Saccharomyces cerevisiae S288C: one gene and its partners. Changing the gene in region 1 together with any one later gene gives a genetic interaction. Each region holds a gene or a part of one and is shown in the gene's direction. Other genes may lie near its edges.

Region 1 (6,491 bases):
ATTCTTGGGGCCACATCTGGCCATGTACATGTTTATATTTATCTATCTGTTAGGACTTGTGAAACAATGCTATTTTCCTGTGCACTATGGACTATGGCTTTGCTTTTACATTTTATGCCTCCAATTTTTCACAATCCTGTCCGACGCTCAGATATTGGTGTGGAAGTAGAGCTAACTCTCTATCTCAGAAAAAAGGTTAGAGCAAGGCAGATCTTTTGCAATAAGAATCAGTTACCATCGATCGATTTGAATTCATATTACTAGTACTTTGCAATACACTGTGTAAGAAGATGTCATAAAGATTGAGAAACGGTCATCAAACTTAATGTAAGCAGAGACACGAGGATTGATGATGAAGTAAGATAATGTGCGACAAGGAAGAAAAAATAATAGCATTATGTAGAGATATCGATTCCCTTTTGTGGGCGCTATGTTCTGGAGGAGAGTTTCTAGTATATTCCTTATCCATAATGTTATATGTGATCTTTATCAACAGTGGAATCCCAACAATAATGCAATTATTCACCCATTTTTCACAAGCAAGCAAGCATTATGAGAGAAGAACGAATGTACAGTCATTTAGATGATAAGATTGGAAGTAGGTCATGATAGTCAGGATTATGTAAAGACACTTGGTGTAACCCTGTATCGGCTGATTTATAATATCGAGAAAGATAATATAAGAAGCGCCTGAGAGTCAGTGGATCGATTATCGAAAATAGAATAGAGACGTTCACGGAGACCCACTGAATGTTTCGTATTAAAGGAGGGATGACTACTAAACCATTTTCACCGCTACTGGTGGCCATTTTGTATTCTTCCATTTACAAGAATTGCTCCCGACTTTTGTTCCATCAGTGGACGATAGACCATTGTCAAACACAGTAATTCTATTTTATTCTTGAGATGAGATGCCGCAATATGACCTGATATGAATCACCCTAAATGTCCGATCTAAACAAATAAAAGGCGTGCGAAACAGCCTCACGACGAGATATGAAGTCGAAAACATCGGCCTAATTTCTGTGCTTTTTAGAAGACTACTCAGATTTTCAATATCAATACAGTGAGTTAGATCTCAGGTTGAGAAGAAACACTTTGATTTTACTAGATAGGAAAGAAAAATGGACTAATTAATCAATCATTTTGTCATCGTTGAAACTTGATAACGCACGCTAAACGATAACGACTATGTTGGAGGGAAAACATTAACGATTACTCTTTTAAGTAATTGCGAAGTATATCTGAGACTAAAGACCCTCTGAATTAATTATATCAATCAACATAAACTATAAGAAACTACAGTGTGAGCTTTAGTTACGAGAGTGTGGATCTGTTCATTTAATATTTTTTATACGTAACGCAGCATCTACCGTAAAATCCCATAGATTGCGGGCACATGGCGCAGTTGGTAGCGCGCTTCCCTTGCAAGGAAGAGGTCATCGGTTCGATTCCGGTTGCGTCCATATTTTTAACATTTCATTTTTTTTGGGTTTAAATTTATTTTCAAACATTATTAATTGATTTCTTTAAAAACTTATACAACGTATGCTAATACTTTAAACTAAACCTTTTAGAACTATAATAAAACTATTTCAAGTAAAGTCTTTTTATCTGATATCTTGATTCATTTATAATAAAATTAAGTGACTATAGAATAGTGCAAGTGGAAGCGTTTTTCTTCTTTTTCTTTTGTTGTGAAGTAGCGCTAATTCCTGTCCTGTTGCTAGAACCAGATTTCGGAACGGCATGTGACGGTTTGTGCTTTTCATTAACCGGAGTAGATTGTTTAACTTTAGCTTGTCCTTGTGAAGATTTGTTATATAAACCTTTTGATGATTGCTTATTGTTTGATTGTTTCGTATCCTGTTTCGCAGAACTAGGGAGCCTGGTTGATGGAGACTCGATTTTGCTAAATTGTTGACTTTGATTTCTTGCGTCTTTAACTGCAACACTTTCCATTTCATTCCGAATGATTTGCCTAACTAAATCAACGAACACTTCATCCACATTGCTCCTCAACAAAGCGCTTGTTTCATAAAAGGGAACTCTACCCCATTTACTGCTTACCTCTATACCTTCTTCCACACTTATTACCCTTTCATTGATTAGATCAGCCTTGTTACCTATTAGAACCATTGGAACGCGATCGGAATCTTTGATCCTAAGGACCTGTTCTCTTAGCTCCATTAATTCTTCCAAAGATTGCCGATCTGTTACTGAATATACCAACAGGAACCCCATTCCTGACTTTATGTATAATTCTCTCATTGCAGTAAATTGTGCTATACCCGCTGTATCTAAAATTTCCAGGTCGAATACCTTGTTATCGATCTCGATGGTTTTCCTGTAAGAATCTTCGATCGTTGGATCATACGTATCCAAATAAACTCCCTGTACAAACTGCACGGTTAAGCAGGATTTACCGACACCACCAGCACCCAATACTACTAATTTATAGTCTCTCATTAGTCCTAATGTTTCCTAGCCAAATATTTCTAAGCGATGATAGAAGCCAAAATATTAGAACGTTGTATGTAAATGTTCTATATCGTTACTAAATAATAGTATTATTGTTCAGTGGAGAGGATGAAATTTCAAAAACTTCTTGGCGTAGTTAAGAACGAACGCAATGGTTCTTTTTTTCGAGATCGAGCTCTACTTTACTTTTTTCTTTTTCTGTCCTTCTCTCTTTTCTTTTTAACCTTTTTCGACGATATTTCGCGTTTGAGAATGTCGAGGATGAATGCGCTTTGACGCGAATTAGTTGTGAGGCTGACGTTGTGATAAAAAGGCGATGATTCTTGGGAATATACAGTCTGTTTCCACTTGCTAGATAAAATGTATGATATTCCAAAAATGCCTTTCTCTATTGAACTGTATGACTGAGATACGCCTGCTTTTACCTTGTATATTATGAGTACTATTCGCCTTTTCCCATAAAGTTGTTTTTTTCTGGGGTTTATGTGTATCGTAAATGGTACAAAATAATAAAATTCTTATCTTGAAAATACTGTTTAATACTTTTCATCATTACTAAATAGGTTACGAAAAGAGGTCTTTGAGAAATGGGAAAGGCCTGTTTGAATAAAGAAGTCGGCACTTACGAATGTGAGGGGGAAAGAGATACCTACTCATTTTTTACCTCTCTCTCAGATATACAGGATTCAAGTAGTAACGAGGAACAATGCGGTGTAGGAAGTATATTGAGTGAAGATAGTTTCACGTTTGAAGGGTCCAACGTGAGCATACGGTTATTTTCCTTGGACTTAAATGCCTTGAATGAAAATGAGAATGGATCCAAGAATCCTGTGAAATTTACCATTCCGCCAAAAATAGAACAAAGAAAGGAAGCAAGACAAAGAGAGAAACGTTTAAGGAGGGTGGCAGTACTACCTGAGAATTCGAGAAACTACCTTGTTGAATCAAGTATGGATTCAAGTAGGGAATACAGTCAACCATTTTTTGACTGGAGGCATGAAATGGTAGAACATGGAGAGGAGAGTGTAAAACCGTGTGGTTGTCATAAATCGAGAAAAGCAAAATGCTTCAAAGAACTGGAGATGGAGAATATAGAAAAGGGCGATATAAAGAAGAGTCTCTTTTACAGAGACATAATTGAATGGTGCAGAGACTATGAAGTCAATAAAACTAGGGAAGTCTGTGTTCCGTCTATACACGAGTTTTACCTACATGGAAATGGAAGTGACAACCTCTTTTGAAGTATAGCCATGCATATAAATATATGTGTGTGTAAGAAAATATTAGAAGTTTTCATAATCTAGAAATGTCAGGCTTTGGGCCTAATGGCACTATACCAAACTGATTGATCTTGTTCCTACTTACTTCCATCCTGATGTAAAAGAGCTTAATATGATTAAAATCTGTAGTAAATCTAAACTCTGCGTAATTCCAGTATAGATTAATCAACCACAAATGAAGGTACGGGAAACCATCCCTTATAGTTTTCAAATTGCATTTGAAGTGCTGCACGTACACGACGTCAAATCTAATTATTGATGGATACAATCTGATATCCGCTTCAGTTAACCTCTGTCCTAAAACAAAATATTTAGCCAAGATTTTCTGTTTGTTACCACTGAATTGCTCCTCTAAGCGCTTATAATTTTCTTTTAGTACACATTCCATCTTCTGCAAGTTTTCAAACAGTGTTTTTACTTCAGTTTCGTAAATCTTTCCGTTTTCTGCTAATCCGACTTTATAGACACCAAGATTAATCTTCGGATGAACCCATTTGATGTTCTTATCAATCTCGTCTATTAAATCATGCGGAACTAGATCAATCACGTTCGTTTCTTCGCTTTGGATAAATTCATCAAACACGCCACTGTTCAAAATTCTTATGATATCGCCACTCTCATTGTTAACAATTTTCCTTGTTTTAGAATCCCACAGAACAGGCACAGTGAACTTTGTACCGGGGTACTTAGGATCATTTAAGTAGTACAACTCGCTTAACCTTGATATATTTTCCACCGGGTCGAAAGCGCCATCCACGAACAACCTTGCAGAGTCATTGTTCACATCACCTAACTCCTCAGATTCGTCTAATTTAGCTGAAGCAATGCCACCAGTGGCAGTAAAGAATCTCTCTTTATATTTTTCCGGCCGGTGTGGAGCAGGTAAGAAACGGGCACCCTTGGAGTCTAATTGCCAGTGAGATAACACAAGCCCTAGAACAGGTTCTAATTTCTTCAAAGACCTGGCAAGAATGGCTCTATGAGTGAATGGACACCCAAGGGCCCCGTAAATATAATACCTTCCTTTTTCTGGTTTAAAAACAGAATGTGTCTTAGAAATTGTTCCCTTGTAAGATACTGACATGGCTTACTGTTTATGATTATTTTTACGAGTATTTTCCTCTATAAGTGGCCATCTCTCCAATTGGCAAAGTCAAGACTTTTGTTATGTCAATATGTGCTACCAAAAATCAAGGGTATTTTCCCACCAGAGCTTATCAATGGCAACTGTGAGATATGAACAGCAGTTAGTAAGGGTGTGTTCTCATCCGACCCTCTGATTCATTTGGTGGCCATTACATTTTCCCTCAATGACACATTCCCCTATTTCATAACTGATTAAAATGGTAATGGCACGTGATAGTAGTGGCTCACAAAACAAAATTTTCTTTCTCAGCGCTGACAAAGCTTCATTTGCATTCTAACCTTATCACAACAACTTCAACTTCACCCAAGTAAGGATAATCAGCTCTGTCGTGACTGATAAATGCTATATCCGGCATATGCAGTCCACACGGCATTACCGTTTCACTAATTTATTGCCATCTTCCTCCACAGTTTTGCACCGAAAGGAAAAAAAGAAACCAACACCGAAAATTTTTTTCTCCTAAAGGTTAAAGTAAACGCAAGGCACTTCACCAGGCTTGTATATATAAATGTCGTGATGCTTCTATGCCAAAGTAAAAGGCAACACTTGAAGATTTCGTTGTAGGCCACTTGCTCAAAGGACATCTAGATAAATACGACGTAAGAATAAAAATGACTAAATCTGAGCAGCAAGCCGATTCAAGACATAACGTTATCGACTTAGTTGGTAACACCCCATTGATCGCACTGAAAAAATTGCCTAAGGCTTTGGGTATCAAACCACAAATTTATGCTAAGCTGGAACTATACAATCCAGGTGGTTCCATCAAAGACAGAATTGCCAAGTCTATGGTGGAAGAAGCTGAAGCTTCCGGTAGAATTCATCCTTCCAGATCTACTCTGATCGAACCTACTTCTGGTAACACCGGTATCGGTCTAGCTTTAATCGGCGCCATCAAAGGTTACAGAACTATCATCACCTTGCCGGAAAAAATGTCTAACGAGAAAGTTTCTGTCCTAAAGGCTCTGGGTGCTGAAATCATCAGAACTCCAACTGCTGCTGCCTGGGATTCTCCAGAATCACATATTGGTGTTGCTAAGAAGTTGGAAAAAGAGATTCCTGGTGCTGTTATACTTGACCAATATAACAATATGATGAACCCAGAAGCTCATTACTTTGGTACTGGTCGCGAAATCCAAAGACAGCTAGAAGACTTGAATTTATTTGATAATCTACGCGCTGTTGTTGCTGGTGCTGGTACTGGTGGGACTATTAGCGGTATTTCCAAGTACTTGAAAGAACAGAATGATAAGATCCAAATCGTTGGTGCTGACCCATTCGGTTCAATTTTAGCCCAACCTGAAAACTTGAATAAGACTGATATCACTGACTACAAAGTTGAGGGTATTGGTTATGATTTTGTTCCTCAGGTTTTGGACAGAAAATTAATTGATGTTTGGTATAAGACAGACGACAAGCCTTCTTTCAAATACGCCAGACAATTGATTTCTAACGAAGGTGTCTTGGTGGGTGGTTCTTCCGGTTCTGCCTTCACTGCGGTTGTGAAATACTGTGAAGACCACCCTGAACTGACTGAAGATGATGTCATTGTTGCCATATTCCCAGATTCCATCAGGTCGTAC
Region 2 (8,692 bases), on another chromosome or scaffold:
TTCACCAGCGTTTGATACTTGGTCACTTTGTATCTTCAATTCGCTTACAGACCAGATTATTCCCATGGACAACACAAGTTTCGAAGAAAGCTTGGGTAACGTACGAAAAACGTGCTCGTTTGTCGATAAAAAGTTTAGCAATATTTCACTGGAGCAATACTACTCATCTTTAAATAATGCTTCTTCTCACGCTTTGGAAGACTATGGTTCTATTGAAAGTTTATCGACATCCATTCGAGTCGATCGTGAGACAAGATCTAGATGGATACGAGCTTTTCATGCGCATGCCTATAATTTAGATATCAGCAGTGTTTATGGTGCATATTTAACTTACTACTTCGTCATAGTGGGTATTATCGCCGTCTTCTTCCATATGAGTCACTATAACGGCCTGAATCGAGCGCTATTTGCAAGCCGGTTCGTCAATTATATTCGGGGCCATTTTGTGTTGCCTACGTTTTTAGTAGATAAGCACGCTAATCACTTCAAGTTTCTAAACGTGGAAGTCTTTACGGGACTGATGCCGAATTCCTTGGAGGCATGGATCATTTTTGGATACACATTGGCGAACATCATATTTTTGTCCATAAGTTACATCATAGACCCATATAACCTCATTTTCAACAGTCACCTGTCGCAGTTTACAAGACTGTTGGCTGATAGATCTGGGATACTGGCGTTTACTCAGTTCCCTCTCATTATCATTTTTACGGCAAGGAATAGTTTTCTCGAATTTTTAACAGGAGTCAAGTTCAATTCCTTTATTAGTTTCCATAAATGGATCGGTAGAATCATGGTCTTAAACGCAACGATACATTCGCTTTCTTATTCATTATTCGCAATTATCAACCATGCCTTCAAAATAAGCAACAAACAGCTCTATTGGAAGTTTGGTATTGCATCCATAACAGTGCTTTGCGTTCTACTAGTTCTATCGCTCGGAATAGTAAGGAAAAGACATTACGAATTTTTCCTGTACACCCACATCATACTAGCCCTTTTGTTCTTTTACTGTTGTTGGCAACACGTCAAAATTTTCAACGGTTGGAAAGAATGGATAGTGGTATCCTTGCTCATTTGGGGGCTGGAAAAGCTTTTCAGAATATGGAACATTTTGCAGTTTAGATTTCCGAAAGCAACACTAATCAATTTGAACACCAGCAACAACCCGCACGATGAAATGTTTAAAGTAATCATACCCAAATATAACCGGAGATGGCATTCGAAACCGGGTCAATATTGTTTCATTTATTTTTTACATCCATTGGTATTTTGGCAATGCCATCCATTTACCATTATCGACGAAGGTGAGAAGTGTGTTTTAGTGATCAAACCTAAAAGTGGTCTCACTAGATTCATTTATAACCATATTTTGCAATCTTTAAATGGTAAATTACAACTCCGAGTGGCCATTGAGGGACCTTATGGGCCCAGTAATCTTCACCTCGATAAATTCGACCATTTGCTGTTACTAAGTGGAGGAACAGGCTTGCCTGGTCCATTAGATCATGCCATTAAGCTGTCACGAAACCCTGATAAACCCAAGAGTATAGATTTGATCATGGCGATCAAAAATCCTTCTTTTCTTAACGGCTATAAATCCGAGATACTAGAGCTAAAAAATAGCCGATCCCACGTCAACGTGCAGGTTTACCTTACACAGAAAACAGCTGTTACAAAGGCAGCAAACGCACGAGACCAATTAATACATTTTGATGATATAATGACCGAACTGACAAGCTTCGCCCACATCGGCAATGCAAGACCTAATTTTAGCAATGTAATTGAAAACGCAATAAAAAGTACGCCGCCTGGAGATTCATTAGCGGTCGTGTGCTGCGGCCCTCCTGTTCTGGTGGACGATGTTAGAAACACCGTTTCTCAAAAACTCCTCGGTTACCCAGAGAGAATTATAGAGTATTTCGAGGAATATCAGTGTTGGTAAATCTTCTCTCCGGCTCCTTCTGATCCTACGCCCACCTATATCTACATATATCTACGGCACTAAAAACTTTTATGTACCGCATAAAAGGTGCTCTTTAGCAACTATTTTTAGTTAATTATTTGCGTTTTAGCTTTCAGGAATTTGCTTGCTAAGACGATGTCTAATAAATCCGGTACTTCTTTACTTGCAATTAATTACTAAGCGGCGCCTGAATTTTTCCGGCTTGATGCCGAGCAAAAATTAACTCTAAATCCCTTTCTGGGAACGAGTCTTTGAAGTTCTACGGTCTTTTGTCTCAGGAAAATATGTCCCGAGAAAGATGGAATAAGTATGGATTTTGTCCTTAACCAGTGGAGGTGGCGCTGCAGTCCTTCTTTTCAGACCCAAGCAAACAGACCAAAGGACATTTTTTTGGAAAATGTTAAGAATCAACCCTCCGAAATCTTTTCACGGCTCAAATTACTGCGGCCTTTTTCTGCTTCTTAAAAATGGGAGCATGATTATTTAATTAGCATTGCATCTGCGTGCACCGTAACTACTACAGTACTTTTACTGCCGCTGAGACGACAGCACGATCTGTTTTAACGTCGTAGGTGTATTTTTTTTTTTCCCGCTAAAAGAGCACCGCCATAATAATGACTTACCTCCTCCAATCCTTCTAGATGTTTTTCTTTAAACTCCTACAGTGAATTAGATTATTGCAAGTGCAAATTAAAAAAAAACCTAAAAAAAAAAAAGAAGGAAATAGTTTTTGTCCATACCGGACTATGGCTTTCATTAACGAATTAGAGCGCCGCTGTTATCCTTTTATTAACTTTTTATCGTGAATCATATCTGCCCCTCTCTCGGTTGATAGTATAAATATGTTGGTTTTAGTAGCTTATTAGTGTGCGCATGTCTTTTTTCTTGTTCCTGGCTATTACAATTCCTGAAAATATTCAAAAGCGACACTAGCCTACCTTAGTTATACTATGTCTAACGAATCTAACGACCTTGAAAAAAACATTTCGCACTTGGACCCGACCGGTGTTGACAATGCTTATATTCCACCTGAACAGCCGGAAACGAAGCATTCGCGTTTTAATATTGACAGAGATACCTTAAGAAACCACTTTATCGCTGCTGTGGGTGAGTTTTGCGGTACCTTCATGTTTTTATGGTGTGCTTACGTCATTTGTAATGTCGCTAACCATGATGTGGCTTTGACAACCGAGCCTGAGGGCTCTCATCCAGGTCAATTGATCATGATTGCCCTTGGTTTCGGTTTCTCTGTGATGTTTTCTATCTGGTGTTTCTGGTGGGGCTTTGAACCCAGCCGTTTCTCTCTCTTTGTGTTTGGCCAGAGCCATCTCACCAGCCAGATGTGTAGTGATGTGGTTTCCTCAGATCATTGCTGGGATGGCTGCTGGTGGTGCCGCTAGTGCTATGACTCCAGGCAAGGTTCTCTTTACTAATGCTTTGGGTTTAGGCTGTTCCAGATCTAGGGGGTTGTTTTTGGAAATGTTTGGTACTGCTGTGTTGTGTTTAACAGTTTTGATGACTGCTGTTGAAAAACGTGAAACTAACTTTATGGCTGCGCTTCCAATTGGTATTTCTTTATTCATGGCTCACATGGCTTTGACCGGTTACACTGGTACCGGTGTCAACCCTGCAAGATCTCTGGGTGCCGCCGTTGCTGCCAGATATTTCCCTCATTACCACTGGATCTACTGGATTAGCCCACTTTTGGGTGCCTTCTTAGCCTGGTCAGTGTGGCAATTATTACAAATCCTTGATTACACTACATACGTTAATGCCGAAAAGGCGGCAGGTCAAAAGAAGGAAGACTGAGAGTAGTCTGCTCAGAATTTTATCTTTTTTGGCATAACGCTCCCATCGTAGTTTAATTTAATTTAATTTAATTTAATATAATAATATCTTATTTTTCATATTTACTGTCCTTTATTTTTTTTTTGTTTTTATCTCTTCTGGTCAGAGTTCTGTTTTTACGTAAGCGGCAGAAGTATGCATTCTTCACATTTTTTCCTCCTAAAGGCAACATTGAGGCCAAACTTTGGAAACAAAGATGATGTGAAGTAATTATTTACCCATCAGAAATCTATGACAAGATAAGTGTACTGCACTGGATATGAGCATTGCATCTCAGAAAAAGGTTAAGCCATCGTTTGTTTGCTTGCGGTGTAAGCAAAGGAAAATCAAATGTGATAAACTTTGGCCTACTTGCTCCAAATGCAAGGCCTCATCCTCGATTTGTAGCTACGAAGTGGAACCAGGACGGATTAACAAATCTCCCACTATCGAAAATGCCCCACATAGAGACATTAGAAACATTACTCCTGCATCGATGTCCGCAAGTGGTTCCTTTACTTCCATACTTAATCCAAGTACTAAAGACTGGGAAATGAAAAATTTTGCCATGAATTTATCGAATGCACACGACAAGCTTGTTGTAATGAATAACACAACCATCGTTGATAGTCCTTTTGCCTTCCATAGCATTCTTCAACATGATTTGTATGCGAAGGCCTTGACCACCTGCATACATGAGAGGATACTGATTGATGTCGAACGCCATCGTGAAAACGTTTCTGCCAACAATAAAAAAAGAGAACTTAACTTAACAATCGGTGATATTGGACCTTTGTTTTTTATTGATAAAGCTGCACTTAAATTTATTGAAAATACCTCAAAAACAAGCAAATTGTATCCTCCAATAGATTTTCTGTATAACACGTATGATTATGAACAAGCGCATCCTGAAGAAAATAATGATAAAATTTCCATAAACATCCTTTTGGAAGAGTTATCCAAATATTTCCTCAATAAGAATGAGGTTGATGGCTTAATCGTGGACTTTTACAAAACAATATATCCGGTCTATCCGTTACTGGAAATATCATTATTCGAAGATAACATAAGGGAGCTGTTGCAATTGAATGAATTTAATGGGTATAACATTGTATTTGCGGGCAAAGACTCTAGAAGAAAACTGGAGACAATAACACTGCTAACTATCATATTGGCTTTTTCTTACAGACGTTTGAGTCTAAGTACTAGTCATTCATTTAAAGAATCTTTTGGTGTAAAATCGAATAATTTAACGCTACTCGCTCATAAACTTCTTGCTCTCATGAACGTTTTTCAATATGTTAATGAACATACACTTTGTTGTCTGCTCTATTTTTTCATATTGCGGTATTTGAATCCAGATCAAGCTGACATGTATCCTACTCACAGTGACATACTAAACCTAAAATTTTTGGAGAATGTAGCAATAAAGCTAGGACTGAATGAAGAACCCTTCCAATACACTCGATACGTCAGCGAATCGGACGATTATCCAAGATTATTCAATTTAAGAAGGAAATTATGGCTTGGCGTGCAATTTTTGAAGTTTGGAATATTGATTCCAGAAGGAGATTCTGACATTCTAAGTTTGGAATATTTAAGATCCTTTATGAAAACTGACGAATCTCTACCAGAACTATTTGAGAGAAATTACGCTTCTACTAATAATCTAGACTTATCGTTGATGGCTACAGCAGAGAATATCTATCATTTACATTTATCTTTACAGGTATTACTGACTTCTTGTTTTCCAATAAATGGCCCTTCCTACTTGAAGGAAGTATTGGATAACATCGACAAGACAAAAGATTTTTTAAATCAGAAATTCCCTCTCATTTTAAGTTCTCTTGGAGAACCAAGGATGAAGAGCTTACATATCAATGTTCCCTCTTCCTTAGCAAATGAAGAATCTTTTGACTTTAGCACTTTTGAGGAAAATGAAACATTCATAGCTAATGTGATTAGCTACACTTGTACAATGAACATCTATGATAGCTTATCTTTGCATTTTGAAAATCAATGTTTCAAAAACGCTTTGGAGTACAAAACATATTATCACCGCTTTACTTTTACCGCTATACAAGATTATTTAACGTTGCTAAAATTAATCTCGGAATACTTTAATGGATCTCTTCTGCATTTACGGGAACCTTTTGGGTTTGCCACTCAGAAAGTTGTTCGCTTTTCGATACATCGATTACTCATATTCCAGGCCACCTTGCTCGTGAGATTATTTTATAAGAAGGATACATGCGACAGATCCTCTGCAGCCATGGGAATGTTGAATGATAGAAACGGAAGACTTAGTCGAGTCATTGAAAAAATGATCAAGTTGATGTCATATCATATGAAATTACTTGTAGAAATTGTTATCTCGAAACTGGAAAAGAGTTATCTCGGTTCGTTCATTTCTGTCTCTATTTTCAGGTATATCATTTATTTGGTGGATACTGACGCGCTGTCTGCGTTTATATCCGACTACTGGAAGAGTGACGCCGTTATGGATGAAAGATATTCAAGAATCCATAGGATTGTCGGTTTAAAATGGGGTATGGGAAGGGATAAGTCCTTTTCGTTCACATCAAAATTAAACAATCCACAATTCTTGGGAAGTCTTGATTTGGAGATTTTGGAAGAATTAGAAAAACTCATTTCCGCACAAGAATTTTCCAGAAACTTCACTGAAGATGTTGACGAATCTTTACAGAGTGAAATTGACCTCATGAATTATGACAATGAAGCCTTGAATCAACTAATGGCAATTGATCTTGATAAGCTACTTGGAATTTTCCCTAACCTGAGTAACTTTTGAGGGGAATACAAATTTGAAAGATACGAGGAGAAAGTTAGTAAACTAATGCTACTTTTAGTCTTCTATTTTTTTCGCAAGCACGATCATATAATCAATACCACACAAAGATTTTTGGTAGCTACGGTCCTAAGAAAATTAAATTCCCTCTCTAATCTGGGTGAGACCGGAATCGCATCAGGTCTTATTAATATGGGGTCAATTTGAAGAATTCAAACTATTTTTTAAACTGTTGTGACAATTCTTTAGCACAAAGAGTTCAATTTTGAAAATCTACCAATGTATATAATTTTTGCCGTTGTATTAGACAGGTTGTGCTCACTGTATATAGTCTCATTTAATAAATTTTTTTTTTTGAAGTGCAAATACCCTCAGTTGACATTCCAAGAACTATGGTTACCCACGAAAAACATCAATATGTTTTGAATTGTTATGTAAATTATCATTTACAAATTTTCTGGGCATATTGCATACCGAGGTATGTAATTTCAGCAAACTCGAGTGCTGCTTTCCATCCATACGGACAACTCAAGAACAAATGGGTACAATATAGTTGTCATTATTATGGCAAAAATATTGAGGGTTCAAAGGTTTTGCGTATTTTAACCACAGGCTAGAGGGGTTACTAGTCTCTGTCTTATAAAATGTTAGATTATAAAGTACAGAGAACAAATATCTACATGTTTTTTATGCTAAATTTGAAAGTTTAGGTGATTTATTTAAGAAAAACTAATCTTTAATGGACTTTTACCGGCTGTTTTGAAGAAATTGTCAAGAAATTCCTCTATAAATTTATTCAATTATCTATTATTTTCTAAGCAGTAAGCTATTTACCATTGTAAATGATTCTTTGGGAAATTGTGCCTTTCAAAGAGACACAGTTCCTCTTTCTTGCAGCCGGAAAGTTTAAAAAATTAATTTTCTAATTATTAAGTGTCAGATAGAACATTTACACAACAAAACATCAATATTTACAAAGGATATATAAAAGTTTCGTTTTCTAAATCAGTCAAATCAAAGACTGCCAAATTGTTCTCGTGGGTTACCACTTTCCCTTCTTCAATGGAAGAAGGATTTTCGCTTTCAATGAGTTGAATTCTGTCCAAATAATTTTGTAAATTTTCGTCATAATTTTTTAGTCTTTGATTATTCCTTCTTTTTAGTATGAAATGGATCAGTAACAAAATGGCTGGTGCAAGAGAGAATGATAAAACGATTTGAACAATCCAGGCAGGTAAAAAGCGAGGAGAGTCCTTCTCTCTCCATATTTGTGGTGATATGATATTAGCAATTCCCATCGCAAATAAGGACACCGAACTTCTTGTGAGTTTTTTGGTGTACCCAGATGCACTTGAACTTGCCCAGCTAAGAGCTATAATAAAAGGAATACCAAATATTTGTCCTGCCATACAGATATTTGCTAAGATACCAATCTTATTGTCCCATGGTAAAGCAGCTGCAGCGATGGATCCCACCAATGCTGGTAAAGTCCAAAAGATGGCTGTTAAAGCTGAAATATTTTTCCATTTTGCTAACATCAACGTAGCGATGAAGGCACAAACGACGGCGAAACCAGCACCGGCAACTGATACCAATGTCGAACCTAGAGCATCAACTCCACCCATTCCTTCAAATAGCAGGTTCTGTTGATAGGGCAGATTGTTGGCTAACTGTTGAAGAAGAAAAAACAATCCAAATAACCAGGTTATATAATCTTTCATTGCCTCTCTGAATTGACTCTTTTTGAAGACTTTTTGTTCAATGGAAGAGCCTGTGGATGCCTGAACTCTCCTGATAATCCATACCCTTTCTTGTATTGAAAAGAATTTCACATCAGCAGGATTATTAGGAAACCACAGAATTACAACAACCGTCATGATAAAAGTCAAACCACCAATGATGATAGTGAATATTTTCCATAACGAAATGCTGGGATTTGTTATATGAAGAACACCATAAGCAATAAACCCAGTTGGAATTGGAGACCCCATACATGCTGCAAAGAAAAATGGCTGAGCAGCAGCTCTTTCTGAAGCATCGAAGAACATACCCATAGTGGTAATTAATATCGGGATAACAACACTCTCTGT
Region 3 (10,207 bases), on another chromosome or scaffold:
TTTCCAAGGTAAACTTCCGCTAATTTTGTATGCCTATTACTATAGCCTTCAACAGCAACGGTATCCAACAGTTTTACAAAACTTACGAATTTCTCAATAGTTGTGTGAGTACTAGTCGACGGATGATAGTTGGTACTTATTTCAACAAATGATACGTTTTAAACTGCTAGTTATCAACACTTTTCTACCAGATTCTCATTATATTTTAAAAAAACATATACTATACAAATAAACGAAATTTTCATAGAAACAAATCCGTGATAGTTTAATGGTCAGAATGGGCGCTTGTCGCGTGCCAGATCGGGGTTCAATTCCCCGTCGCGGAGATTTTTTTACCATAACTGATGACTACAGTTGGTGAAACGGTAGCGAGTAAATATGAAACTAGACAGCAAAAGTTGACCATAGATAATGAATTAAAAGCTGTAAATCCTGGGTACAAATCGGGATAACAAGTAAACAATGCCGAAAGTAATTCTGGAGTCTCATTCAAAGCCAACAGACTCAGTTTTTCTACAACCATGGATAAAGGCATTAATTGAAGACAACTCGGAGCATGATCAATATCATCCCTCTGGCCATGTAATTCCTAGCTTGACCAAGCAGGACTTAGCGCTACCGCATATGAGCCCGACAATTTTAACCAATCCGTGCCATTTCGCCAAAATTACAAAATTTTATAACGTTTGCGACTACAAGGTATACGCATCGATAAGAGATTCCTCACACCAAATACTTAGTTGAGTTTTCCCAAGAGTGTGTATCTAATTTTGAAAGGACTCATAATTGCAGGATCACATCTGAGACGACCAATTGCTTAATGATCATTGGCGATGCTGACTTAGTCTACGTAACAAATTCTCGAGCAATGTCTCACTTCAAAATTTGCCTAAGCAACATTTCGTCCAAAGAAATAGTGCCCGTTCTCAATGTAAACCAGGCCACGATATTTGATATTGATCAAGTCGGATCGTTAAGTACTTTCCCATTTGTATATAAATATTTATGACCTTCTGCAGGCTCGATATTTTATAAGTGTGAGAGAGTTAGAATATCTTCGTTTATCTACATATATAAAGGGAAGGGTTTGGAATATTTTACCGATAAGTACTCCTCTAGAGAAACAAAAAGGGGGTTATTAAACTTCATTCTTCTTTAAACTTTTCAGCGACTTCTAAAACCTCCTTTTTGGCGTCATTTACACTAACTTCTGGTGATATCTTAACTCTTTTGAATTTTAACTTCCCATCAACAAAAATGAAATGCGATCTAATAGAACCAGAAAGTGGCGTTTTTTTGGCTCCTAGCAACCCAATAAACTCTCTCTTTGGATCGCTTAGTAAATGATATGGCAAATTTTGTTTACTCTGAAACTTTTTCTGGGATGTCACAGAATCTGCACTCAGTCCAAAGACAGCAGCATATTTCTTGAGTTCCTGGTAATTGTCACGAAATCCACAGGCCTGTCTAGTACAACCAGGCGTGCTTGCCCTGGGATACACAAAAAACACCACAACTCTGTTATTTTCGGTGATTTTCTTCAAGGAGATAGAGTCATTATCTTCATTTAAAAGACTCAAATCAGGAATAGGATCGCCTATCTCTAATTCGTTAACATCAGATGACCTATTTGCCTCTTGAACTACTGCTTGATTAGCGTTATGTTTAGGACCCGTCTTGATTTTCTTCTTAGGCACTTCCGGTGTCGAAATAGGGGCCAGTTTGGACTCTTCCTCTTCCAACATTCTTTTGGATATTGCAATCCTGGTTGATCTACGTAGTGCTTCACCCATTCTATTAAGGAACTTTAATATTACCTGTATAAAGCTCGTAGTATTACTTCATCCAGTGGATGTAATAACAATGATATTTCTCTTCCCTTTTCTATATCTTTTTTTTCTCGACGGCTGCTACATGGCACAGCCGTCTGTGGATTTCATGCTCTTGCTCGAACATTCCTTTTTTTAATGTACAGCCAAGTGTACATTACAAGAGTAAAGAAAAAAGTGTGAAGAGAAAGCAAATTAAGTTTGTATTATCTAGGAGACAGTATATTAAAATAGGATACTAATATTCAAAAAGTGTATATTTGTTTTTTTACATATAACATTTTATAATTTATCATTAATAAGTGACAATCATAAGAGCATAGCAGCGGCACCGGCAATAGCGGCACCAACACCAGCGGAGAAGAAGCCCATGTCCATAGCTGCACCAGCGTTCTTGGAGGTAGCAGAGGAGGAGCTATTAGTAGATTTTTCTGCAGAAGAGGAGGCCTTTGCAGAAGAGGAAGCTGCAGAAGAGGCCTTGGAAGAAGCAGATGAAGCAGCAGATGAAGCAGCAGAAGAGCCAGAAGACTTGGCAGAGCTAGAAGACTTAGCAGCTTCAGAAGCAGAAGAGGAGGCAGCAGAAGAAGATTCTGAAGCAGAGGAAGAAGCAGCTGAAGAGGATTCAGAAGCAGAAGAGGAGGCAGCTGAAGAGGATTCAGAAGCAGAAGAAGAAGCAGCTGAAGAGGATTCAGAAGCAGAAGAAGCGTCTGAGGAAGCAGTGGCAGATTCGGAACCAGATTCGGAAACGGTTTGACCTAAGGAGGTAATACTGATACCCGCGCTTTGTAAAGCAGCGATGATTTCAGGTTCCAGTCTAGAAGAGTACCAAGGCACTTGAACCATGGCAGTGGTGATTTGAGCAAAGTCCATTTCGGTGAAATAACTGGTGTAGGAATCATCAGTAGCAGTGGTCATATGTTGGTAAACATCCAAAACACCAGATGGTAGGGTAAAGTCTGGATTATTCATTGCCAAGGACATATATTGTTCCAAATTGGCCTTGACATCAGCCAAAATAGCGTCAAATTCGACGATTTCATATTGTCCAACTTCAGCAGAAACCAATTGAGTGGAGGCAGCGGCAACAGCTAATAAGGCAGCGATTTTAGTGAAAGACATTGTTGTGTGTGGGCGGTTGAACAATTGGATCTGGGGAACACTAAAAAGAAAAAATCAAACAACCAGCAAGAAAATCTGCAGTAGAGAAAGGAAGAGGAGACGAAACGCTTATACTCTCCACCAAAGAATATATGTATATATATATTCATATGTACGTATACTGCCTTCTCAGACGGAAATCTGCAATCCATTCTAGGGCCTTCTAAAAAAAAGCCTACAGAAATCATGGTAAACAGGAACAATGGGTCGCCTTAAGGCACGCATATCTAAGAAACGTGTGCAGAAGCGGTAGGGTACACGTTCCTATCGTTCCATTTGGAGTCTACACACGTTTCCAACCTCTGCCTTCAGTCACAGTTTCTGAGTAACCTCGCTTACAAAAGAAATTTTTTTTCCCGCAAGGCGAAGTACGCCTCGTATAAGGCCAATGTCTCGTATGGGTGATGTAGGGCAGAAGCCAATGTCTCGTTCAAATGAAATAATGAGCTAATTAGGCTCCAAGTTTTACCACCTATCTGACGATTCTCTCTCTGCGTATAAGAAAAATGTTGAAAAAGCAACATTTTGCGCCAGGAAAAAAGCCCAATCATGGAAGTGGTGCAATACACATTCCAACTTACACACCGAGATTCTCCTGTCGTTATATTTCCACTTTGACGCCCCTTTATGCATCTTACTAATATTAGCTGTTCGAAGTACAGCTTACCTAGGCACATGTACTTTATCTCTCGAATTTTCCTGCTCAGTTTCTCCTACTCAAGTCTCTCCTAGTCTCTAAGGGAAGGCACCGTCTAGGACAGTGCCGGGCATCCTTTATGCAAGGGATATCCCCCCGCAGCCTTCTCCGTCCGTTTTCGTTTAGGCACTTCGCACAGAATTCACCGCAGAGAAGCGCCACATAGACGGCCACTTTTGTTTCCTACAACTTCCACTCTATCGTTTGGGGCCCGTGCCTTCGACTTTTACTCCATTGTGCTGCGGTTTTTGTTTGGCCTCGAACTTTTCCTGTCTGCGGATCTCCTGGTTTGGAAACAAGCTTTCCTCCATAGGCAAAATGGATACTACGGTACGAAGTATTTTCCGCAGATCCTGCTCTCACCTATATAAAACAACATACAACATCGTAAAGCTCTCTGCTCTTTTAGCTATTAATAGTATTATCACACACTTAAACCCTTTTCTCATTAGTTCGTAAACGGGTTGGTAAAAAGAACTTGCATACTGTAGCAAAAAAATTCACAACTAAACACGATAGAGTAAAATTAGAGAAGCAACGCCTCGCGGATGTCTCTTTCCAAATATTTTAATCCAATTCCTGACGCTTCAGTCACCTTTGATGGGGCTACCGTTCAATTGGAAGAATCCCTCGGTGCTGTTCAGAACGATGAAGAGTCCGCATCGGAATTCAAAAACGTAGGCCATTTAGAAATTAGTGATATCACTTTTCGTGCTAATGAAGGTGAAGTCGTCTTAGTACTGGGAAACCCAACATCAGCGCTCTTCAAAGGTCTATTCCATGGTCACAAGCATCTGAAATACTCGCCTGAAGGGTCTATTAGATTCAAAGACAATGAGTACAAACAGTTTGCTTCCAAATGCCCCCATCAGATCATTTATAATAACGAACAAGATATTCACTTCCCGTATCTGACGGTGGAGCAAACCATTGATTTTGCGTTGAGTTGTAAGTTTCACATTCCCAAGCAAGAGCGTATTGAAATGAGAGACGAGTTATTAAAAGAGTTCGGACTGTCGCACGTAAAGAAGACGTATGTGGGTAATGACTACGTTCGTGGTGTTTCTGGAGGTGAAAGGAAACGTATCTCCATTATAGAAACGTTTATTGCCAATGGGTCTGTTTACTTATGGGACAACTCGACGAAGGGTTTGGACTCTGCCACCGCCCTAGAATTTCTTTCCATTACCCAAAAGATGGCAAAAGCTACAAGATCGGTGAATTTTGTTAAAATTTCTCAAGCAAGCGACAAAATTGTCAGCAAGTTTGACAAGATTCTTATGTTAGGTGATTCCTTCCAGGTGTTTTACGGAACCATGGAGGAGTGTTTAACCCATTTTCATGACACCTTACAGATAAAAAAAAACCCTAACGATTGTATTATTGAATATTTAACATCAATCTTAAATTTTAAGTTCAAGGAAACGTCTAATTCCATTGTTGGTCTTGACACTCCATCTGTTGTTTCTGAAGAAAATCAAGCTTTAAACATCAATAATGAAACAGATTTGCATACATTATGGATTCAGTCTCCATACTATAAACACTGGAAGGCCATCACTTCAAAAACAGTGCAAGAATGCACCAGAAAAGATGTTAATCCGGATGATATCTCCCCCATTTTTAGTATTCCGCTAAAGACGCAACTGAAAACGTGCACTGTAAGAGCTTTCGAAAGAATCATTGGTGACAGAAACTACTTGATTTCTCAATTTGTTTCTGTTGTGGTGCAGTCTTTGGTTATTGGGTCCCTTTTTTATAACATTCCCCTGACAACAATTGGTTCGTTTTCTAGAGGATCTTTAACTTTCTTTTCCATCCTATTCTTTACATTTCTTTCTCTCGCCGACATGCCTGCTTCCTTTCAAAGGCAACCCGTCGTTCGTAAACATGTCCAGCTCCATTTTTATTATAATTGGGTGGAAACTTTAGCAACAAATTTTTTCGATTGCTGCTCTAAATTTATACTGGTGGTTATTTTTACAATCATACTTTACTTTTTGGCCCATTTACAGTACAATGCAGCTAGGTTTTTCATCTTTTTGCTTTTCCTTTCCGTCTATAATTTTTGCATGGTGTCACTATTTGCATTAACTGCTTTGATCGCTCCAACTCTATCAATGGCAAACCTATTGGCCGGTATCTTACTGTTAGCCATTGCCATGTACGCGTCCTATGTTATTTATATGAAAGATATGCATCCATGGTTCATATGGATTGCATATTTGAATCCTGCTATGTTTGCCATGGAAGCCATTTTGAGTAACGAATTGTTTAACCTGAAACTAGACTGTCATGAAAGTATTATTCCCAGAGGTGAATATTATGACAATATTTCATTCAGTCATAAAGCTTGTGCCTGGCAAGGCGCTACCCTAGGTAACGATTACGTCAGAGGCCGTGATTATTTAAAAAGTGGATTGAAATACACTTACCATCACGTGTGGAGAAATTTCGGTATTATCATTGGGTTTCTGTGTTTCTTCCTATTTTGCTCTTTACTAGCAGCGGAATATATCACGCCTCTGTTTACTAGAGAAAATTTATTGCGCTGGAATAACTATCTCAAAAGATACTGTCCCTTTCTGAATAGCCAAAAAAAGAATAATAAAAGCGCTATTACCAACAACGATGGCGTATGTACTCCCAAGACCCCGATAGCCAATTTTTCCACTTCATCCTCTTCTGTTCCATCAGTCTCGCATCAATACGATACTGATTACAATATTAAACATCCAGATGAAACTGTTAACAATCATACTAAGGAATCCGTAGCTATGGAAACGCAAAAGCACGTCATCTCCTGGAAAAATATCAATTATACCATTGGAGACAAAAAATTGATCAACGACGCTTCTGGATATATAAGTTCCGGATTAACTGCCCTAATGGGTGAATCTGGTGCTGGTAAGACAACTTTGTTGAATGTCTTGTCTCAAAGGACCGAAAGCGGGGTTGTTACCGGTGAATTATTAATCGATGGACAGCCCTTAACGAATATTGATGCATTCAGAAGAAGTATAGGGTTCGTTCAACAGCAAGATGTTCATTTAGAGCTCTTAACTGTGAGAGAGTCTTTGGAAATTTCCTGCGTCCTAAGAGGTGATGGGGATAGAGACTATTTAGGAGTTGTTAGCAACCTATTAAGATTGCCTTCGGAAAAACTGGTTGCTGATTTATCTCCAACTCAAAGAAAATTATTATCTATTGGTGTTGAATTGGTCACTAAGCCTTCTCTGTTGTTATTCCTAGATGAACCTACTTCAGGGCTAGACGCCGAAGCAGCTTTAACCATCGTGCAATTTCTGAAAAAGCTTTCGATGCAAGGTCAGGCTATCTTATGTACTATTCATCAGCCTAGCAAAAGTGTCATCAGCTATTTTGATAACATCTATTTACTAAAAAGAGGTGGTGAGTGTGTCTATTTTGGTTCATTACCTAATGCCTGTGACTATTTTGTAGCTCACGATAGACGCCTAACATTTGACAGAGAAATGGATAATCCGGCTGATTTCGTTATTGACGTTGTTGGTAGCGGAAGTACAAATATTCCAATGGATGATGCAGAGAAGCCAACCTCAAGCAAAATTGATGAGCCAGTATCTTACCATAAGCAATCTGATTCAATTAACTGGGCAGAACTCTGGCAATCCTCTCCAGAAAAAGTGCGGGTTGCTGATGATTTGCTTTTATTAGAAGAAGAAGCCCGGAAATCTGGTGTTGATTTCACTACGTCCGTATGGAGTCCGCCTTCGTATATGGAACAAATAAAGTTAATCACAAAGAGACAGTACATTTGTACCAAGAGAGACATGACCTATGTTTTCGCTAAATATGCTTTGAATGCTGGCGCTGGACTATTCATTGGATTTTCATTTTGGAGGACAAAGCATAATATCAACGGTCTGCAAGATGCTATTTTCTTGTGCTTCATGATGCTTTGTGTTTCCTCCCCTTTGATCAATCAGGTTCAAGATAAGGCTTTGCAATCTAAAGAAGTATATATCGCCAGGGAAGCGAGATCTAATACTTATCATTGGACCGTTCTTTTGATTGCTCAAACTATTGTTGAATTACCATTAGCCATTTCCAGTTCTACCTTATTTTTCCTGTGTTGCTACTTCTGTTGCGGTTTCGAAACCTCTGCCCGTGTAGCTGGTGTCTTTTACTTGAATTATATTTTATTTTCCATGTATTATTTGTCATTTGGGTTGTGGCTTCTATATTCTGCCCCCGATTTACAAACTGCCGCTGTCTTTGTTGCCTTCCTCTATAGTTTCACAGCTTCATTCTGTGGCGTTATGCAACCATACTCGTTATTCCCAAGATTTTGGACATTCATGTACAGGGTTTCACCATACACGTATTTCATTGAAACTTTCGTAAGCTTACTTCTCCATGACAGAGAAGTAAACTGCTCGACAAGTGAAATGGTACCAAGCCAACCTGTAATGGGTCAAACCTGCGGTCAGTTTATGAAACCCTTTATTGATGAATTTGGTGGGAAACTGCACATCAATAACACATACACCGTCTGCGCCTACTGCATGTACACTGTTGGGGATGACTTCCTTGCTCAAGAAAATATGAGTTATCATCACAGATGGAGAAATTTTGGTTTTGAATGGGTTTTCGTTTGCTTTAACATTGCCGCCATGTTTGTGGGCTTCTACCTAACCTACATCAAAAAAATTTGGCCTTCTGTGATTGATGGTATAAAGAAGTGTATCCCATCAATGAGGCGGTCCAAAACATCTCATAATCCAAACGAACAAAGCGTATAATCAGTGAATAGCGTTCCGTTAGAAAACATTCAAAATTACCTAATACTATTCAACAGTTCTTGTTCCTCATCCGGCTGCCTTCTGCTTTAAACTAATTGTTAATTTATTCCCAAATCATATTCTAAATTAATCTATAATCATTTTTCGGATTATATATGCTCCATACTTAATAAATATTAATACTCTCATTTCCTTTTCACTTTTTTTTTTCTCAATTAGCATTCCAGGTTCGAGAAATATCATTGATATATCGTAATTCCTTTTCAGTAAACGTGATTAGACGACCTTCGTCAAGTTCAGAGTTTGTGTGTCCGTCACCCGTAGCATATGCACAATACATATAATTAGAACATTCCTTGATTTGCATCCATGGATGAACAGAAACGTCAGGAACGATTAGTCCCTCTACGTTCAACGAAGCATCATATATCCTTTTTAATTTTGAAATGTCCCCATATCTACTCTTAAAATACTCTGGCTCTCTTCCAAAGTCATCTTCAGCACTGTTCGAAATTTTACAAGTCTTCAGTCCACCGTTTACCCATAGTAATCGATTTTTGGAGTCACTGTGTGCAATCTGCGTAGAACAAATGTAGTACATCCCGCTTTTATGTCCGTCATCATTTTCAGGCTCTTCATTAACAGGTCCAATAATACTGCCATCAACGGGATTGATAGAATAATCCTGGCCAGCATATAATTGCCCCAACCAGAATATTTCCTTGTCACCATACACACACCTCTGCAATTTTCCATCCAAATTTAACATAAAAGACATCAACAATCCATTTAATTTCTCAAGTTTATTGACTACAACCAAACCACTATCAACATGATGGAGTCGTAATTTTTTGAAAAAATTGTAATACACAGATGCTTCTTCTGAGGTTTCGGAAGAAAACGGTAATGACGAATCAAAAACTAACCTACTTCCAATAAATCTGCGTTCTTGTGCAGAGGGTTCCACTTCATTTAACATTTCGATGCAGTATTGGAAAGTTTGCTCGTTTTCCATAACCCTATCCTTGAACAAAAGTATCCCGCTCTCCCTGTAAGAAGGAGAGTCGAAAAAGTAATCAGACCCTACAAACGGTACTACGTCTGCATCCAACAAAATGTATTCTTCAAATGTGTTGAACAAAGTGGCGACCCATTTATTCTGAAAAAAAGAAATGTATGTATTAGCAAAATTAGTGTCAAGCACTGTCGAGCAGTCTACTAAGTAGACCCTTTGTTCCGTTTCTTTAGCGGTCTCAGAAATTTTAGCAATAGACTCTGCTGATAGTTCATTTCCCGTGGATACTATTTGGAATGGTAATTCGTTTTTTGAAAATTCCATCACTTTCAACTGTTTCAAAAATAAAGGAACATCCTTTTCAGCAATAGTTAAAACAAAACCTCTTCCTTTGCTCAACCTATTCCAGTTGGACCAAAAGTTACCATTAAAGTTTGATGATTCCATATCAACCTCGGGTGCCGGAACTGCCTCTCCAGTTGTCATGTCTGTGATAATAGGCCACATTACAGTTTTGGATTCCTCGTTAATTTTCTTCAGAAATGGAAACATTCTGTTTTGCAAATCATGAGGATTTACGGTTGAATTTGCAAATATTGCAGTAGGATCTAATTGACCAGATAAAAAGCAATAATCATAAGATCTTAATCTTTCCCCTAACAATGAGGCCAACGTGTTATCTACACCATCAACATTATAAAATTTTGCAGTTTGCGCATTGTCC
Region 4 (6,690 bases), 720 kb from region 1:
ACCACTGCCGATGCAAACGCTAAAACAAAGGTCCTTTTGACTGTAGACCTCACGAAGTCAGTTGCTCAAGAAGCTGTGGATGCTAACTGCAACGTAATTGTTGCTTACCATCCTTTTATTTTCCCAAGCTGGAACAGATTAAGCCCACATACAAACCCACAACACGAGACAGCTATAAAGCTAATCCAGTACGGAATATCCGTATACTGCCCTCACACTGCCGTAGATGCCGCTCGTGGCGGTGTAAATGACTGGTTGGTTAGGGGTTTGAACAACGGAGAGAACGTCGCAAAGTCTTATGCCTTGGAAACTGTAAGTGGCGAAACTGACGACTTGATTGGCTACGGTAGATTCGTAGAATTCAATAAAGACATCTCTTTGGAGCAAATTGTCAAAAATGTCAAGCGTGTTTTACGGGTTCCCTATGTACAAGTAGCATCTCTTGCTGCTCCATCCGCATGGAATCAACTCAAAATCAAAAAAGTCGCTGTCTGTGCCGGGAGCGGTTCTGGCGTGTTTAAGCAACTAAAAGAGGACGTAGACCTTTACTATACGGGAGAAATGTCACATCATGAAGTACTGAAGTGGAAAGAAATGGGCAAGACCGTTATTGTTTGCAACCACTCAAATACTGAGCGTGGATTCCTTCAAGACGTTATGAAGGGCTTGTTGCAAGATGAGGGCCACGAAGTAGTCGTAAGCAAAATGGATTGCGATCCTTTGACTGTTGCATAGCTGCTAGTAATTATATGGCTATATAGGATATCACAAATACCATACGTACTACAGTTTTATCATCCGGCTGTTCGTGTAAAATGATGTTGTTGTATCGGATAGAGAAATACGGATAGAAAAGGTAAAAGTCTTCAAATAACAAGGACAATAACATACTCTGTATTGAAGACGAAGTACTCAGCAAAGCGTAACGTAATTACACTTAGCACACAAATATACTCACACAAATATTACAAGGCATGTCGACGGATACCATGTATTTCAACAGCTCCAGGCTGTTGCCATCGGCTGGCAGGAACAAGACAAATAATCTAATCAAACAAAAAACTAGAAATAATCGTGCGAGGGGAAATGCTGCTAAGAACGCCAATAATAACAACTATATCACAGATATACCACCTCCTCAAACTCTTCCTAACGGTCAGAAACCTAACTTCGGCCATTCTTCCAACAAGAAACCATCATTTAATCAAAAGAAGCACTCTCCACCTTCTTCCCCTTCCTCTACAACTACTTTAGGTAAAAAAAACAGACAGAATAATAAAGAAACGCCACGACAGAACAACAAAGATGATACTCGTTTACTGAGTCAGAACCTAAAGAATCTGCTTCTGAACCAGAAACAATCCCCGCATGGCTCTCAAGGGATAATACCAATGGGTTGTAATGGCAGTGCCAAAAAACTCAGTCACTCTTATGCAGGCTCCACTTTCGCCACTAATGGTCCAAGGGAGGCTAAAAACTTGCCCAAACCAAGTTTTTTATAATCACCCTTTAGAGAGACATTTTTGATTTTTTTTTTTTTTTTTTTTTTTTTTTTTTTAGAATAATGCATATTTTTATTTGATATATACCTATGTACCAATTATACGAATGCTTATGTCTGTTTTGGATCTGGTCATCCAAAGCAATTTCTCAGATGACAATTTTTTTTTCCTATTTTCTGTTACAGTTCATCATTATGCTGAAGAAAAATGAAACATGGCGGTGAATAATAAATAACACATTCGTACAACAAATCTTGTGGTAGAAAACCTAAAAAAAACCAATACGATAGAAAATGGATGAAGTCTTACCATTGTTTCGCGATTCTCATATTCCACAGATTAAAGATTATCAATTGGAGTTACAGAACGATTTGACTAAAACCAATGAGGCCTTCCAAAAGAATTTGCTAAAGAACTATAACAAGATCTTAAGCTTGACCGATTCTGTTAATGACTTGTCGCTCAATTTGAAAAATGTTGATCAAGATTTTAAATCCCTGTGTTTCAATGATGAAAAATTTCAGTTGAATAAGTTAACTCCACTACCATACCAAACCACTACCCATATATCACCACCTCGTGACGAAGAAAAAGTCAGCATACCATCGCAAAACATTTTAGTAATTTCAAATTGGACCATCTCCATCAACAACTTCTGTAATCGTATAGTTACTTCCACTACTCCGTCGCGGATATTCGACGAGCTACTGTTGAATTTCCACGAATTATCTTTGATACCAGTTCCTTCCAAATTTGAAGCGCTTGTCAAGGACAAATGTTGTCGACTACAGAAGTTCTTGGTGGACTCTATGAAGACATTAAACTTAACTTTACTACAGTGGGTAAAACTATACAATTTACTAAACACGGAGTTTTCCTCGAAGTGGGACGATGATTTACTTTCTATATTCAATGAATCCCTATTCGAGACACTATTTAACGATAACGTTCAAGCGTTACTGATATCAAGTGCCAACAGCAAAGATCATCAATATCACTCCAATCAGCAATATAAGGACGCGATTGTTGTCGATTTTGTGAATTCGTCCACCTTTAGAGACCATCTCATTCGGAGAACCGTGAAAGAAATAAACACACATTTGGATACACTCTCTACTTTGAGAGCCAAGCTTAAGGAGCCTGAAACTCTTCATAAATTAGATATCTTCCATGATAATGATACGAACCTCAATGATGGCACTGTATCTCCACTTGATGATGATGCATTGAAACAATATATTGATACAGCGGTATTCTATTCAAAAGGTTTAACCAATGATACCACGTTGCAAATTTATCAAACGGTGCAGCCTACGATTGAAATCCTACAAAACTTAGAATTGTATAAATGCCCTCAAGAGACACTGACAGATTTGAGAAATAAATTGATTACTCAATTGCAAGAGTTTAAGACTCAGATCTCATCCCGCTTACCTTCACCACTGGAAAACTCAACGAGTGTTGTGGATGATTTTATAACTTCGTACAACAATCACAATCTCTTGCAATTAGTCATCGATCAAATTACTCAATTAAGGCAACAGTAATATAATAGCACGAGGGAGGGTACCCGCCTCGCAAACTTATTGATAATGATAATGGTATGGGCGTTGATATATACATATATATATATATATATATATATATATATATATACATAATATATATATGTTTATCTGTGTGTATCTATGTGGACTTCAATAAGTGATCGCCTTCTTGATATCATATTACTCCCCCATTTCACCTGAATTAATTTCGGAATACATGAGTAAGCTCTTGGACCGAATCATTACTAGGCTTCATGACTGTTGAATATACTGCATCCGATTTGGCAACCTATCAGAATGAGGTGAACGAACAAATTGCCAAGAATAAAGCACATCTTGAATCATTGACTCATCCAGGTTCGAAAGTGACATTTCCGATCGATCAAGATATTTCTGCTACACCTCAAAACCCGAACTTAAAAGTTTTCTTTTTTGATATCGACAACTGTCTCTATAAATCATCCACGAGAATTCACGATCTTATGCAACAATCTATACTGAGGTTCTTTCAAACACACTTGAAACTATCACCTGAAGATGCTCACGTTTTGAATAACTCTTACTACAAAGAGTATGGACTTGCCATAAGGGGACTTGTAATGTTCCACAAAGTGAACGCACTGGAATATAACCGGCTTGTGGATGATTCCTTACCACTACAAGATATCTTGAAACCTGATATACCATTAAGGAATATGCTGTTGAGATTGAGACAATCGGGAAAGATTGATAAATTGTGGCTTTTCACCAACGCTTATAAAAACCACGCAATACGTTGCCTGAGATTGTTGGGTATAGCGGATTTATTTGATGGATTGACATATTGTGACTACTCTAGGACAGATACGCTGGTCTGCAAACCACATGTTAAAGCATTTGAAAAAGCCATGAAGGAAAGCGGGTTGGCAAGATACGAGAATGCTTATTTTATAGATGACAGTGGGAAAAACATCGAGACAGGTATCAAATTGGGCATGAAAACATGTATTCATTTAGTTGAGAATGAAGTAAATGAAATTTTGGGGCAAACACCAGAAGGCGCTATTGTCATTAGTGATATATTGGAGTTACCACACGTTGTGTCCGACCTGTTCTAAGGTATATCAATTTTAAGTATAATTGTATATAAATCTACTTGCATTAGATGCCTCTATAAAATAAAATAAACCAAAAAAAAAAAATAAATTGCACCCCCCGTAAGTTCTCATTTACGTAAAGGTTGGGCTTGTTGCTTCTTTTGTTTGGCAACAGCATAAATAATACCTGATAGGAAACCAATAAAAATGGAGAGAATAGATAAGAAGTTTCTTGGAGCATCAAAGAAAATCAAACCAGACAAGGCAATTGGCAGCTTGTTCAAAGCCCCTACCATCGAATATGTAGTAGACGAAGTAACACGAACACACCAACCGGAACAGTAAGAAATACCGACGGATGCAACACCACTGATGATCATAGCAGTTAGCGAATCGTTAGAAAAGTTATTGGTCAAATTAACTGAAGACCAATCTTCCACACAGAAAGAAAACAGCAATAGAATAGGTAGAGCCAAAACATTGTTGTAAAACATAGTGTCGAAATCCTTGAAGTTAGTTAACTTAATTCTCTTTCTCATTATAAGAACGAATAATGCAGAAGTGATACAGTTGGTGAACATCCAGAAATAACCTGGGTTAAAGGAGGCAACAGCACCGGCTGCTCCTTCAGCCAATGAAGCAGCCTTGGCAGCCACAGCTTGCTGGTCACCCCAAGTTGCAACGACAGAAGAAAGGACCATCAACAAAAATGATGACAATTCCATGGAGGTGACAGAGCCACCAAAAAAGAGAACCTCACCATAAGCAATCAAGATAATAGTCAAATTCTTGAAAATGGTGTAAATTGGAACAGCCAAGTATTGTAAAGCCTTCGAAGAGGTGTAGATCATCAAGACCAGTAAAAAGGAAATAGGGAACCAGTTCTTGGCGTCTGTTTTGTTTAATGAACGGAACTTCGCATAGCCCAGTATACGTAGGATAATCAAGGTTATAGTACAAACCAAAGATTGCACGAAAAGCATGACAAAGTTCATGTTGAAATCCTTCAAATTGACGACGAACTTGTTAGTCACCGTCATTAAAATAGAGGAACCACAGTAGGATAAAATAGAGATCGGACCGGAATTGGCAACTGAAGCCCAAGGGTTATGGCCTGCATGACCTGTTTTCAATTCAGACATTCGGGCGAAAGATACTGTGTGGTTAGTGTGTTTGTTTTCTTAGGCTCTTTTGGTAATTAAGAGGATGTCAACAATTAATCGGCAACAAGAAATAGGCTTGGCAGCGTTATATATATTCTGTTTTTCTGTTCATTGTTTGTTCGGATCGCGAAATTTCAATTTTTTTCTTTCTTTTTTTTTTTTTCGGCCAAAACTATTATCCAAGGCTGGGTAAGAGGATTCTGAAAAACCCGTTTAGCTTTTCGTATATTGCGATTCATTACGCGTTTAGGCGACGTGTCTTCTTTCGTCAACTGTGATATTTTTCGTGTTATGGGCGGCTAATTCTTTATAAAAAGGGAAATTTAATCATTATGGCAAACTCAAATGGTGTTCCTACATCTATATACCACCATGCCACTTTGTACCACCAGTCATATATTTTCTTCTACTCATAAGGGAGCCGCATATATATATGGCGCACATTGCCATGGTCCATTACAAGCTTTTTTCTCGTAGCACTTTAGAATGTCTATTGAGTTGCAATATTCAGGCAAAAATGCGTTCTATCTTCAGAATGTAGCTGTTGAAATTGTTGTTTGACTTTTTTTGGACTAGTAGCCGTCTTATCGAACCAAATAGAAGCATATGTTACCTCATTATTCTCTCAATATGGTATTGGAGCGGGTGTGGGTGTGTTCCTTTTGTTCTTAAACGATAGGTACGCATTAAACACCGCTTATGCAGATGGTACATCATATACTGCTTATACCCTTTCCTACTTCAGATGAATATGCAAAACATGTACCGCAATGATGCGAGAGTAACTTTAACAAGAGCTCTTTCGCGTGTGTAGCGATAATATTCAGGGGCGACAAGTGTAGTAATGAAGATATAGTTCTCACCGGTACCTAGATGTCACTACTCGGACACCAGATTACTGTAGCAAGCAAGGTCAATGTCGAGACTAAGCATGATCATAAGTATTGGCGCCCGACATTGCATTTTTTTCCTTGAGATCATATCACAGTGCATGCCATCACAAATAGTTACTTTGATTATTTCAGTGCCATCGCATGACTTCAGTTTTATTACACCTTTAATGATGTAAAAGCGCCGTCAAGATACTAATATAGACGCACGAGTTTCGTTCGCGCGTCTTGGTGAGATTGAAAAGTTATTTTGCCTTTCTTGTCGAGATGATGGTATTTCCCTTTTTTATTTAACATTCATTAATTCCTACCTGTAGTTATCAACCTTTACAGCAACGCAAGTGAAGTGGCTTACTATATAAGCGTAACTCCAATGTGCTTGGTTAGTTTTGGAAAATTTCAAGGCGTTGTTGCAGAATTGTACCTTTAAACATGTCTACAACAACTATGTGGATGTAGCATCTCTATCATGACGCAAACGCAAACATCTCTCTCTCTCTCTCTCTCTAAGT

What was found.
Region 2: mutations in YGR153W (region 1) and YLL054C together harm fitness more than expected from each alone (negative genetic interaction), as found in Saccharomyces cerevisiae (one large-scale study listed by BioGRID).
Region 3: mutations in YGR153W (region 1) and PDR11 together harm fitness more than expected from each alone (negative genetic interaction), as found in Saccharomyces cerevisiae (one large-scale study listed by BioGRID).
Region 4: mutations in YGR153W (region 1) and SDT1 together harm fitness more than expected from each alone (negative genetic interaction), as found in Saccharomyces cerevisiae (one large-scale study listed by BioGRID).

What each region holds. Positions count from the first base shown.
Region 1 is NC_001139.9:793,024-799,514, forward strand, and holds YGR153W (uncharacterized protein), read left to right. Parts: upstream 1-3,068; coding exon 3,069-3,722; downstream 3,723-6,491. Other genes in the region: CCM1 (Ccm1p), read right to left, coding at 1-30; Ras family GTPase RSR1, read right to left, coding at 1,651-2,469; GTO1 (omega-class glutathione transferase), read right to left, coding at 3,775-4,845; cystathionine beta-synthase CYS4, read left to right, coding at 5,520-6,491.
Region 2 is NC_001144.5:30,586-39,277, reverse strand, and holds YLL054C (uncharacterized protein), read left to right. Parts: upstream 1-4,073; coding exon 4,074-6,605; downstream 6,606-8,692. Other genes in the region: FRE6 (putative ferric-chelate reductase), read left to right, coding at 1-1,945; AQY2 (Aqy2p), read left to right, coding at 2,917-3,366; YLL053C (uncharacterized protein), read left to right, coding at 3,317-3,775; YCT1 (Yct1p), read right to left, coding at 7,574-8,692. UniProt on the Saccharomyces cerevisiae protein: Required for growth on non-fermentable carbon sources.
Region 3 is NC_001141.2:326,468-336,674, reverse strand, and holds PDR11 (ATP-binding cassette multidrug transporter PDR11), read left to right. Parts: upstream 1-4,232; coding exon 4,233-8,468; downstream 8,469-10,207. Other genes in the region: thioredoxin peroxidase DOT5, read right to left, coding at 1,146-1,793; TIR3 (Tir3p), read right to left, coding at 2,139-2,948; YIL012W (uncharacterized protein), read right to left, coding at 3,323-3,664; alpha-1,3-mannosyltransferase MNT3, read right to left, coding at 8,680-10,207. UniProt on the Saccharomyces cerevisiae protein: Transporter involved in the uptake of sterol.
Region 4 is NC_001139.9:75,471-82,160, reverse strand, and holds SDT1 (nucleotidase), read left to right. Parts: upstream 1-3,303; coding exon 3,304-4,146; downstream 4,147-6,690. Other genes in the region: NIF3 (uncharacterized protein), read left to right, coding at 1-735; EDC1 (Edc1p), read left to right, coding at 975-1,502; Golgi transport complex subunit COG1, read left to right, coding at 1,796-3,049; VRG4 (GDP-mannose transporter), read right to left, coding at 4,254-5,267. UniProt on the Saccharomyces cerevisiae protein: Could be an enzyme that inactivates 6-azauracil by modifying it.